Linked DNA regions of Schizosaccharomyces pombe. The protein of the gene in region 1 purifies or fractionates together with the protein of each later gene. This does not show direct contact. Each region holds a gene or a part of one and is shown in the gene's direction. Other genes may lie near its edges.

Region 1 (7,832 bases):
CTTCAAGGAATTTTTTCTTCTTCTTTCCAACAGGTTTCAAATAATATGTATAGTTGGATATATGATCATGTATTTTCTTCTTCCGATCATGCCTATGAATCGCTGATATATTATATGAAAACTGGACATAAGCAAGTCGTTCAATCATTTTCTATTTTTCCGGTTTTCAGGGTTTGCCAAATGTTTGCTGTCATACTAAAAGATTTTGTTGAAAATTACTCTAATAGACCAGTAGACCGAGTTTTTACTACGCTTATCGGATACTGCATGTTTACGTTTTTAGGGATTTCATATCTTAATCGCAAACAATTTCTATTTAATGACCCTCAAATCAGGAATGTGGAATTAGCTTTTAGAGAAGTTTTGAGACAATGCGGATCTATAGCAAAATTCGGAATAATTTTTTCTATCGAATTGGTTGTTTTTCCTATTTTCTGCGGGATATTGCTAAGCATGTGCTTAATTGGCACTTTCAAAAAGCTTGCTGCCGAGAATCTTCTCAATGTAATGACAGTTTATCCAGCACAAAGCATTTTTTTGGCATGGTTCATTGGGATAACATTTATGTTTGAGTTTGCGGTTTTCATTTCCATGGTACGTAAAATTGTTCGTCCTGGAGTCCTGTATTTTTTGCGTGATCCAAATGATCCTCAATTTCATCCAATTCGTGAAATTTTAGAGAAACCTATGCTCTTTCAATTGAAGAAAATTGGATTCAGTGCAATACTCTATTTCGCTTTTATTATTGGCTGTGTTGGTAGCGTTATCCATCTTTTAAAGTCAACTGGAATAATTTTTCCTATTGAATTCACTACTAAGCCTGCTGTGTTTGAAGCACCAATTGACTTGTTAGCGTTAGAAATTCTCATATTTTTAAGTATTAAATTATTTAAACCTCTCGAACTCACTAGAAGTTTTTGGCGAACTTTGGTGTCAACATTCTGCAGATGTTTACGTCTATCATCATATGTTATGGGTCAAAGGTATAGTGATGAAGAGGGTTATTATCCCAAGCAATATTTTTCTTTTCTTAGAAGGATTATAAGCAAACCTTCGGATACCGAAAACCAAGATGATGGTGATAAGCAGAAAGCAAAGAAAGACTTTGTCCAAGACGGTTTCTTTTTGTGGTGTCCTTCTAAGGATGTTGTGCCAGTTCGCCAAGGAGCCATGCTTATACCTGTGACAGAAAATGGTTATGAAATTTTTGGTGAAAAAAAGAAGGTCGAAGAAAATGCGGACTATACCATTACTTATGCACCTTCTAATTTTTATAAGCGTTTGATCGCTTTGTTGTTATTTTGTTGGATATGCTCAACACTTGTGACAGTATTGTTAGTGTTTGTTCCACTTTCATTAGGAAGAGCTATTTATGCTTGGTGCTTTCCTAATGTGGTAAAGCACGATTTTTATGCTTACGCCATTGGATTTTACTCTATTTCTTTTCCAATGTATGCAATTCACGCGTCTGTTAAGTTTCTGAAACTTGACTATTTACGAAGCCTTATGAATAAACTAAATTTAAAAATTGTTATGAGGAGCTTAGTAATGGCGTTAAAATATCTTTTATTAGCATTCCTTGGAATATTTATCTTACCACTCTTACTTGGAGCTATATGGGAATTATACGTCGCTATACCTTTCCGAACGATATTTAACAGAGGGACTCTTGCTCTCGATGCATTCCAAAACTGGGTGATTGGTCTTTTTATGCTTCGTATGATATATTTTACTGTGACTTCTAATGAAGAGCGTTTCGTTTCAAGGTTGTTTCAAGATGCTTTTCGTGATAGATGGACGAATCCTCAAATTCTTCCATTATTAAAAAATGTTCTCATCCCTTTTACATCAGCCTTAATAGCCGCCGTTGTGTTGCCAAGTGTTTTTACTTACGTAACCTATCCTTTTCTTTCATCCATTTTCCCTTCTGCATCTAAAACCCTTATGTATCGGTTGATGCATCCTATATTTTTAGCATTACTTGGGCTAGCACTCTTGGGGCGCCGTTTTGTAGAAACTAGTAGTAAATGGTCGCAAGGAATACGTGATGATTTATACTTAGTTGGTACGAGACTGCACAACTTTGGCGAATCTGCTCCTCCAGCCATTTCTGAGTCTGCCGAAAAATAAAAGTCTAGTCATCTACTATTTTTCAGATTATCCTTCTCTTTGGAAAACTGGAGCGAGGACATCTGAAGTAATATAGAGCATTGTGAATGTATATTATTTGAATGATGTTTTTGTTTTAATTGCTACGAAACTGTTAGTTTAGTTGCAGGAAATTACAAAAAGTCATCGTTTGAACAATTGGTTTGTTATTGTTATATTGCCAGGCATCTTATCCAATTTATCGTAACTGGTATTATCATGATATGGTGCTATTTATTTAATTTTCTTTACAAAATTGAACAAATATCAATTATCGTTGAATTTCTTTGATGTATCTGATGACTGTATCAAACCGTAGCAGCGAAAATTTGCAGACAATCACTAGCAATGGATAAATTAGTTAATTACTAAAAAGAAACAGTTATAACAAATATGTTTACTACGGTTATGTGACAAATTTATGAAAATGTAAAAGTTCGTAGTATTGCATGTGTTGATTTTGTAATCCATTCAATACTAACTAATCCTTCGTATAGAGGAATATCAAAATACTTTATCACTTAATCAATTTAAATTTTACGATTATGTTGGCCTAGTAAAATATTCATGTTAAGGATTTTATGGCATTCAACAATAGCGATAAGCTGTAATATTACAAGTAATAAACTCCTACTTAATTCGTTTCCAAGCCCATTTATTAAAAAGAATAATTCAGTGTTGTTAAAAGAAACACTGCAATTCTCTAAAAATTAAAAAAGCCAAGAAGTGTATAATTTTAAGCTACTTTAATCAGTGAAACTAATTTAAAACCAAGAATGATTAAAGATATCGAAATAAACAATTTATAGCAAAATTTATTGGTGATAGAAGCTTTCACTTCGTATTCCATATGCCAGATAAAACTACCCACTTTTACTGACTATTCCAAAATCCATTTTGAGCAAAAGATCGGTTATTTTCAAGTGTTTTTATATTCAGGATTTTCATGTCAATCAGTTATTGAGCGTCATATCGTTGTTCAATTACGGTTTTCTTAACATTATAGAAACTGCTTTTCTAAAAAAAAAAAGAAAAAAAAAGAGCAGGCATTTTTATACTAAGAATCAGCGATAAAAGGGAAGACAGTTACATCAATCTAAAATCTAGTTTACGATAAATACTATTTAACTAAAAGAGAATGGAACCAAACGAAGGAGTACAACTGTTTTCGGCTTTTCCGCCTCCACCTCCATATTATAAGTTATTTACAAGAGAAAACATAGAAAAAGTAATTTCAAATATGGAGAAAGAAGCAAAACATGAGGATGACGCGAATACTTTACAACCTAAGACTGAAGAAGAAATAGAGTCGCTGGCCAAGCTGTTTAAGAAGCCGTCATGTCTCACATCTGGGACTTATCAAATGTTTGGTGACACATGGAGGGTAAGTTTATTTTTATTGTTTTACATTAGCTGCTTTTCATCTCTCACTAACTTATATCGCTTATAGCTAGACGAAGCTATACCTTCACTCAAAGAATTTGGAATCCCTGAATTATATAAAGATATAAAAGATGGAGAAGATGAAATTGAAGTGGTAGAATATGATCCTAAATCCAATGCGATAGTTGGTACTAGTTTTACTCGTGTACACGATTATGATAAAAATTCACCAATTGAAAATGAAAAAATTCTGGAGGATGATCAACATACGGCCATGAAAGAAAAAGATAATGAATCTGATAAGACAATGAAAGATGTCGAGGAAAAGACTGAGCCCTCTCTTAAAAAGGAAGAGGAGGATATACAAATGAAGGAACCTTTAGATTCTCAAGATACTGGAGCTGTTTCAGCTTCTTCGGTAAACGAAGGTTTCCGGGCAGATCAAAAATCAAAGGATGGAGAAACGAGTGATTTGATAAAAATTCCCCGGCGAGCTTATGAACTACGATTTTTATCCCGCTCACTTATGCTTAACTTTCTTGAACTCCTAGGGATTATGGCGAAGGCACCCGAACAGTTTCCTTCTAAGGTTGAAAACATTAGGGTGTTGCTGCTCAATCTCCATCATTTAATTAATGACTATCGTCCACACCAATCTCGTGAATCTTTAATTATGCTTTTAGAAAAACAATTAAAACATGAAGAGTCGCAGGTTGAGCTATTACGTACTCATAACCGGCAAATGACCGAAACTTTGGAAAAGTACAAATCATTAGATTTTAATATGGAGAAGGAAGGAGATGTGATTCAACAATTAAAGTCGTCAATAAAAAAGCCATTGTCAGGCGCTGAAGATGAGCAAAAGTCTAGGTCTATGTTCTCAAAAAATGACGAGAAATTAAAAAAATCGCTTGAATTAATGGAAGACGTGATAAAACGAGATCTTAGCTAATAAACCGGTTTATCTAGTAGAGTTATTTTGCTATTTCCTCTGCTTTTAATATTTGTTTTACAAACAAAAATTCATACTAACGATGAAAAAAATGTATTCTTTCTATTTTAAACAAATCAAAAAAGTTCGTATCCACTACGAAGCAAACCAAAATTTATATTTAAACGGCAAGATCAACCTTTTCCTCAGTGATCATGCTCTTGAAAGGCGCAAGCGCTTGAGAGACGTCCTTATTTACAAAGGATTCAGTCTGCTCGGGAGCACGTCCAACAAAAGTGGATGCATCCAACAAAGAATCTAGCTCATCATAAATAGGAGCAAAATAAGGAGTATTCTTAATACGCTCAATTAAGTCGTTATCCCCTCCCTCTTCCTTGACTACTCGGCCAGCTTGATGAGACAAGACACGAATCTGCTCGTGACACTCATGACGACTAGCACCGTGCTTAGTCATAGCCATGATAATGTTTTCAGTGGCCATGAAGGGCAATTCAGCACGAATGTGTTTTTGAATAACCTTAGGATAAATGACCATACCAGAAATAACGTTCAATAGAATCTTAAGAACGCTATCTGTAAACAAGAAGGCTTCAGGTAACAGAGAACGACGGTTAGAGCTATCATCCAAAGTACGCTCAAACCATTGAACAGAAGCAGTATTAAGAGCATTAGGAATCAAGTTCATAATATAACGAGCTTGAGAACAAATACGTTCACAACGCATTGGATTACGCTTGTAAGCCATAGCAGAACTGCCAATTTGACCAGCCTCAAATGGCTCTTCTACTTCTTTCAAATTAGCAAGGAGACGGATATCAGTTGCAATCTTATGAGCAGTAGCACCGAAAGAAGCTAATGGTTGCAAAACGTCAATATCGATCTTACGATCATAGGTTTGGCCGGTTACAGGATAAACGTTATCAAAACCGGAAAGCTTGGCAACCAATTTATCCAATTCCTCAACCTTGGCATGATCGCCCTCAAAAAGGGCTAAGAAGGAAGCCTGAGTGCCGGTGGTACCCTTGACACCACGGAAACCAATGTCATTTCTAGCTCTTACAAAATTTCTCAAATCCCATAAAAGCTCTTGAATCCAAAGAGTGGCACGCTTACCAACGGTAGTTAATTGAGCTGGTTGATAATGTGTAAACCCAAGAGTAGGAATGTCTTTGTATCGCAAAGACCACTGGCTAAGACGATTGATAACGTTGACTAACTTAGGGATCAAAAGATCCATGGCGCTGCGTAAGAAAATCAAGTCAGCATTATCGGTTACAAAACAGCTAGTAGCACCCAAATGAATAATACCAGAAGCAGCAGGAGCAGCAAGACCATATGTATAGATGTGAGCCATAACATCGTGTCTCTGACGCTTCTCTTCCTTAGCAGCGATTTCAAATTCTGGAGCTGTAATTTTGACATGCGCTTTAAGTTGCTCAATAGCTTCATCAGTAATTTGAGTTAAACCGAGTTGCTTTTCAGCAATGGCGAGATTCAACCACAATTGTCTCCAAGTATTAATACGCATTTCTCTTGAAAAGAGATGAGACATTTCAGCAGAAGCATATCTTGCTGTCAATGGTGTACTATATGAACCATAATCCTCCATATTCGATAATCTTAAGCTCGCCAAAAAATTTCTACCTGTTGTGGTGAATGGACAGTGAGGAACCAACACTAAGTAGTGCTCTACAAATGCTCCACCTTGAGAAGACCATCAGATTTATTATTTTGTAATTTCCATATTAATTAGTTAACGCGCATGAAAAATCAAACGATAATTTATTGTGCCTCCATGCTTCATATGTAGTATTCACCTAACCCACCAAGCAAATCAATTGAAGATCAAGTATAGAGGAGTAAAGGTGCCTTTCCACATATGTTAGCAATATTACAAAAGGGGTTATAAATTTACTTTAACCAATGCCTAAGTAAGAAAAAGACAGAGACCACTTCGTCAATTGAAACTTGTATTCTTAAACTAGTGAATATGAAATGTGAACTAGTAAGAGCAGAAAATTAATTTCTCTATAATGCCAAAATCTACTTCATCAGCAGATAACGAAAACCAAAATTATTTTGGATTATACTATTAAAATATCTTCACAGTGAAAAAGTAATAAACAAAAAACCATCAAGAAAAATAAATATTAAAAGTTGCAAACATCAACTATTAAATAAAGTGTGAAACAAAAAGAGAATTCTTGCTGTATTGGCATGGGTGTTTTTAAATTGGTCAAAGAAATATTCATGACAATCAACCCCAGATATTCTCAGATGCCAAGAATTAAGTGCTCATTTGTATAGGGTAATTAGATGTATTTTGATCGTTTTCGAGATAACCTTTCAGTAAATCAAAGGCTATATTTTATGGCCCATACAAAGGGCGCGCGACTTCAACTACAATTAAAACTCAAGCAATGGTGCAAGCACTTCCAACACGATACCACCAACTTTCTTGAAGTTGAGTTAACCAAATAAGAACCAAAACCAGTCGATCGGTCGGGTTGTCAACTTGCAAAATGCGAGTTTTCTCAAGCTCTGAGATAGGAAGAAGATTGGTGATTTTGTAAGACAAGTCAGCAATTGACTGTCTAGCCTCCATTTTTATATCGATTAAAGGTACAACCCAATGAACATATGTTCGGCGGGCATTCATGTAAAAAGCATCTATTCTTTCAACTAATTCTTCATTACTTAGATTACCATACATTAATAGATATTCAGGCTCAGGAAATTGGAGTGGAGTGGCTCTCAAAGGAGTATCATAGTGCTTTTCAATTTTCACTCTCGGAAACAAACCATCAGCTCGAAAATCGATTATACGAACACAATATGAACCACGGGCTTCTACAAGACTTCTCCCATCGATCAAAGGCTCGACTTGGATAATTTCTAAAATTGTACCATACTCAGAACAAAAAAGACGTTGACCACGAGCATTTCGAAGCTCTCGATGCTCATTATGACCATCACTTCGTGCTCTTAAAGGCATTGCAATACAAAATCGCTTAGAAGTCTCCAGACATTTTTTGATCATGATGTGGTATCGCAGTTCAAAAATATGAAGGAATGTCGGCATTCTGGGATATGCAAGCATGCTAATAAATAACGGAAGCCAACTTTCCTGTTCCTTTTCTTCTTCCCATGATTTTTGACGTTCTAACCAATTATCTGGGTAAAAATCTCGCAAAAATGTGGTAATAGAGTGGCTTTTCGCATGTTCCAACACAACAGGAGATGGGAGCCCAAAACGACAAGTCGGGCATTGAGGAGACTGGGTTAGTGCTTGCATAAGGCAAGGGCCACAAAATGTATGTCCACATGGAGAAACAACTGGGTCATAAAG
Region 2 (4,606 bases), on another chromosome or scaffold:
CGTCTTCAGTACTTCGATATTATATACAAAACTTATTCAATAGATGTCTAACGAGCACACATAATACAAATAATATCTAAGAAACTTGTATTGTCATCATGTAACATAGAATTAAAAGTTTACACATTTAAACAAACTGAGTAATTTAATGTAGCTAAATAGATATAGTGCTAAACACTCATGAAACAGCAGATGAATAATCATCCTTCATTTTTTGAGTACGCATTTTGCGATTGAAAGATCCATGATCCATTATTTATTATATTAAATACTTGTGTTTTAGCAAAATTTATTACATTACTCCAAAAATTATCTTATGTTTGAGTATTGCTTAGCGAAGCTGCAATTTTCAACCCCCTTTATCACACCGCTTAAACATCTCATCTTAAAACGAAGTAGCGGCTTTGCTCTATTTTACTCATCACAATGGAAGATGAAATGCAAATAGACAAGAAGGAGGTGGAAATTGAACAAAAACCTCCTCGATTTGAAATTAAAAAGGTTCGTCATTATTTTTATGATCATGTTCTTCATGTGTATCAAATTTGCCATAAAGCAAAGTAAACTGTGAAAATTAATACCCAAAGATATATTTGCTATTTTAAAATAAGCATACACTTAAGTACTAGTTTACTCTCTTTGCTTTTTTTATGAGTTCTTCTGATTCATATTGCTTACCTTCAATTTAGTGGAATGCTGTAGCATTATGGCAATGGGACATTGTTGTAGATAACTGTGCTATCTGCAGAAATCATATTATGGACTTATGTATTGAGTGTCAAGCTAACACCGATTCTGCTGCTGCTCAAGAGTGCACAGTGGCATGGGGAACTTGTAATGTAAGTTTTAATTCGATTTCTTTCGTATTCTTAGCTCAGGACTGTTTTTAACAAATACAAAAGCATGCATTTCACTTTCACTGCATCTCAAGATGGTTAAACACTAGGAATGTTTGTCCTTTGGACAATCGTGAATGGGAGTTCCAACGTTATGGTAGGGTATATTAAGACGAGCCTACTTTACTAACTTTATCTCAGGTCATTAATAACATTTATTAAGTACTTACTTTTTTGTTGGTAAAAATATTTCAATGGAGCAGAGCGTTTTATTAATGAAATGACATGAATCAATTAAAATTTCCTAAAATCATGACTACTTGTGGCTAGTTTAAGTTTCCATGTGACTTTGAATTGTTATTTATATTTATTTACTCCAATTACTCAGATAGTGGACGAATATATCAATTTATTTTATTGCTTGTCAAATAAAATTTCCTACAGACAGTTTTTAACTACACATCATATAAATTAAGACATTATATCACTACTTTGTATACACTTGAAGAATTAGAACATTACTTAAATCATCAAAAGAAATGGCATACTTCTAAAGTGCTATTGTTAAAATTGAATAGGCATACAGACATTATGCTGCATATCGCATGACAGAATGCGAATCATTGCTTTCGAGAAGAATGTCAGTGGTGAGATACAAAAGCTCAGTAGTGCACGGATTTTCTATACTTGCCAATCAATTCACAAATTCAGTTAACTTTTAAATAAGAACAAACAGCTTTATGAAAATTACCATCTGATGTTTAAAACCTTCAGTTTATCAGACTTGGTGTTTTCGTTAATAGTGGGTAGGCATAAAAAGATTCGTGGTACTTTGACTCTTTATTCGCCTAATACTAATGTTTCTGTCGCCTTCGTCACTTCCCACTATAGAGAGACCTACATTCATCTGACTTTTTAAGTGATACTAAAAAGTCGGATACTTTTTATATAAAGACTGTAAAAAGCATCCCTATGTGATTGAATGTGTATATATCCATCTCTTTAAAGGTTTGATAGGGTAGGGTCATTTCAGCATGAAAGACGGTTATAAAATTATTGGGTTTATCTCATCTGGAACTTATGGAAAGGTTTATAAAGCGGTTTCATCTAATTCGAATGATAAACGACTGTTTGCAATTAAAAAGTTCAAAGCTGAGTCAAAGCAAGTAAGCTCGAATGCTCAACAAACCGGCGTTTCTCAAAGTGCTATTCGTGAAATGATGCTGTGTAGAGAAATTCAGCATGAAAATATAGTTAGCTTGGTTCAAGTTTTACTCAAAGATGGCACAATTAGCATGGTTTTTGAATACGCCGAACACGATCTGTTGCAAATTATTCATTTCCATAGCCGATCTAGAACAAGACAAATTCCACCATCAATTTTAAAAAGTATTCTATGGCAGATCATTAATGGTGTAGCATACCTACATGAAAACTGGATTATGCATCGAGATTTGAAACCAGCAAACATAATGATTACAGCTACAGGCAAGGTAAAAATTGGGGACCTAGGGCTGGGAAGGCTCATTCGGGATCCCATATTACCATTTTATTCCAGCGATCGTGTAGTAGTTACTATTTGGTATCGTGCGCCAGAGCTACTTTTGGGAGCTCACGATTATACCCCAGCAATAGATGTTTGGGCAATTGGTTGTATTTATGGAGAAATGCTTGCTCTTTCTCCTCTTTTCAAAGGAGATGAAATAAAAATGGAAGATAAAAAAGTCGTTCCTTTTCAGAGTACTCAAATGCTACGCATAATGGAGTTACTAGGCACACCAACAGAAGAACGCTGGCCAGGTCTCAAAAATTATCCAGAGTACTATCAATTATCATCATTTGAAGTTCGTTACTGGAATAATTTGCTTCCTCAGTGGTATCAAACCGTAAAAAATCGGGATCCGCAAGGGTTAGATCTACTGATGAAAATGCTACAATACGATCCAAAATCACGCATAACTGCTAAGCAAGCTTTGGAACACGTTTTTTTTACTTCCGATAAATTATGGACCACTAGGTACGTGTTCTTCCTTTTCCTATTTATCATCGAAAGAAATAAGCTTTTACTAACTCACTTTTTAGCCCATTTTTAAATCAACCTATTCATTATCCAGAAAGGAGAATTTCAGAAGATGATTCCGAGGTTTCCTCCAAACGCGTACTATCTACTTCACTAAGGTCCGAAAGTAAACGTTTTAAAGGAAATTGATTGTTAATGCTTCCCTTAAGCTATTTAAAAGATTATCTGTAATTTTCAATTAAATATTTCGCCTTTTCTTGGACGTATATTTGATATTCTGTCTACGCAGGGCACCGTCGTTTTATTTAAGAATACCTAAAAAACTCACGATTATTTATTCATATTTTTGACCATTGAGATACTAAAATTTTTTTTCAACTATTCTAATATATGGTTCAAACCATACATTTTTGCTAGTACATCCACGTTGTGACTCATTATTCTTATTGTTTTAGAGGGAAGATTCCAACAGCCATGTTGGGTAAGGAATGGGAAAACACTAGCTTTGCAGAAATTGGTCTACTACATCAAGCGCCTAACGATAATGACTTAGAAAAATTTCAACATGCTCTAACGTTAATGAGTGAGGCTGATAACTCTAGCGATGTACTAACTTATGATTTTTTACTGGATTTTCTCTAACTTGCCATAGCTTTTAATACCACTTATTAGTGACTTTTTAATATGGTTTTATTATCAGAAAACACCTTTAAAATGGATTCCTTTTCTAGGTCACTTTTTTAATACCTGGCAATCTTGTAGTTTTCCTCCCCGCAGATATTTGCTAGCTAAAATACTTTCAGGGAGAATTTCAGAGGTATGTGTAAAGAGAAAAAGAAAGCAGTTTATTTTTTTTTGTTTCGATACGTCAATTTTCGAACGAAACTTTTGTGATTGAATTTTTTTTTTGCCATAACAAATGCAAGTTGTTTGTTGGTACTAACTATGCATAGTTGCTGAAAGTTTCTCCTTTTGAGCTTGCCGCTTCTGTAACTAGCCAGGATGTAGTCGAAGCTGATTCCCTAGTTGAAGAGAATGAGTTACAGGCTTGGCTAGAAAAACAAGAACTTGTACCGTCTTCCTCTAATTTTCTAAATTCTTTTTGGATTTCAGGGGGAGAGAGAGAGCTAACGGAAGAGGAACAGGTAAGATTATCCTTTTTTTTTCAATTTTCGAGGAATTGCTACTGACATTTCGCTTTAGAATTCTTTACTTCAAAGCAACACGACGTACACAAATTCTGATTTGCCTGCCTCCAAGCAGCTTGAATCTTTTATTTCGATGAACCTTTCTTATAGTAAAGTTTTTTTCCTTCATCTTCTACAGCACTCTGATTCCTCGTTTAACGATAAATTTCTCTTGCTTCTTGCTAATATTCCCGTTACAGTTTCAAATGTAGAAGTCTTACTTTATTTATTGCAACAAGAAGAAAGCCTTGCTCAATTTGATCTTAACGGCAAATCTTTTCTTTATCACATGCTTGTATCCTTGCATAACCAAGTTACCAATACATCACATTTAGAAAAGCAACGAATATCCACTGTTGCGACTTTATTTATATCCAAACTATTCGAAATACCTTCTTTATCTGAGTATTTATCGAGCACATTGTTTTTAGATCTTCAGGCCTTTTGCATCGTTGCTTTACCGCAATCAGCTAAGCTATTCCAAAAAGTAAAAGCATTAAAAAATAACCCTTGAGTTATTGAAAAGTTAGTATAACTCTATTATTTATTCGTATCTATTTAGA

What was found.
Region 2: the proteins of med7 (region 1) and srb10 purify together in Schizosaccharomyces pombe (affinity purification with western blotting; 3 studies listed by BioGRID, with this or other methods). This does not show direct contact.

What each region holds. Positions count from the first base shown.
Region 1 is NC_003423.3:4,169,356-4,177,187, forward strand, and holds med7 (mediator complex subunit Med7), read left to right. Parts: upstream 1-3,004; 5' UTR 3,005-3,286; coding exon 3,287-3,532; exon of another isoform or gene 3,533-3,598; coding exon 3,599-4,483; 3' UTR 4,484-4,643; coding exon of another isoform or gene 4,644-6,092; 3' UTR 6,093-6,433; downstream 6,434-7,832. Other genes in the region: ubiquitin ligase Doa10, read left to right, coding at 1-2,130; adenylosuccinate lyase Ade8, read right to left, coding at 4,644-6,092; SPOM_SPBC14F5.10C (ubiquitin-protein ligase E3), read right to left, coding at 6,897-7,832.
Region 2 is NC_003424.3:1,574,984-1,579,589, forward strand, and holds srb10 (mediator complex cyclin-dependent protein kinase subunit Srb10), read left to right. Parts: upstream 1-1,723; 5' UTR 1,724-1,870; coding exon 1,871-2,853; exon of another isoform or gene 2,854-2,918; coding exon 2,919-3,045; downstream 3,046-4,606. Other genes in the region: SCF complex, Cul4-RING and CLRC ubiquitin ligase ligase E3 subunit Rbx1, read left to right, coding at 427-501, 690-839, 903-993, 1,038-1,045; protein Not11, read left to right, coding at 3,331-3,462, 3,509-3,673, 3,810-4,001, 4,060-4,557. UniProt on the Schizosaccharomyces pombe protein: Catalytic component of the Cdk8 module/Srb8-11 module which is a regulatory module of the Mediator complex that regulates basal RNA polymerase II transcription.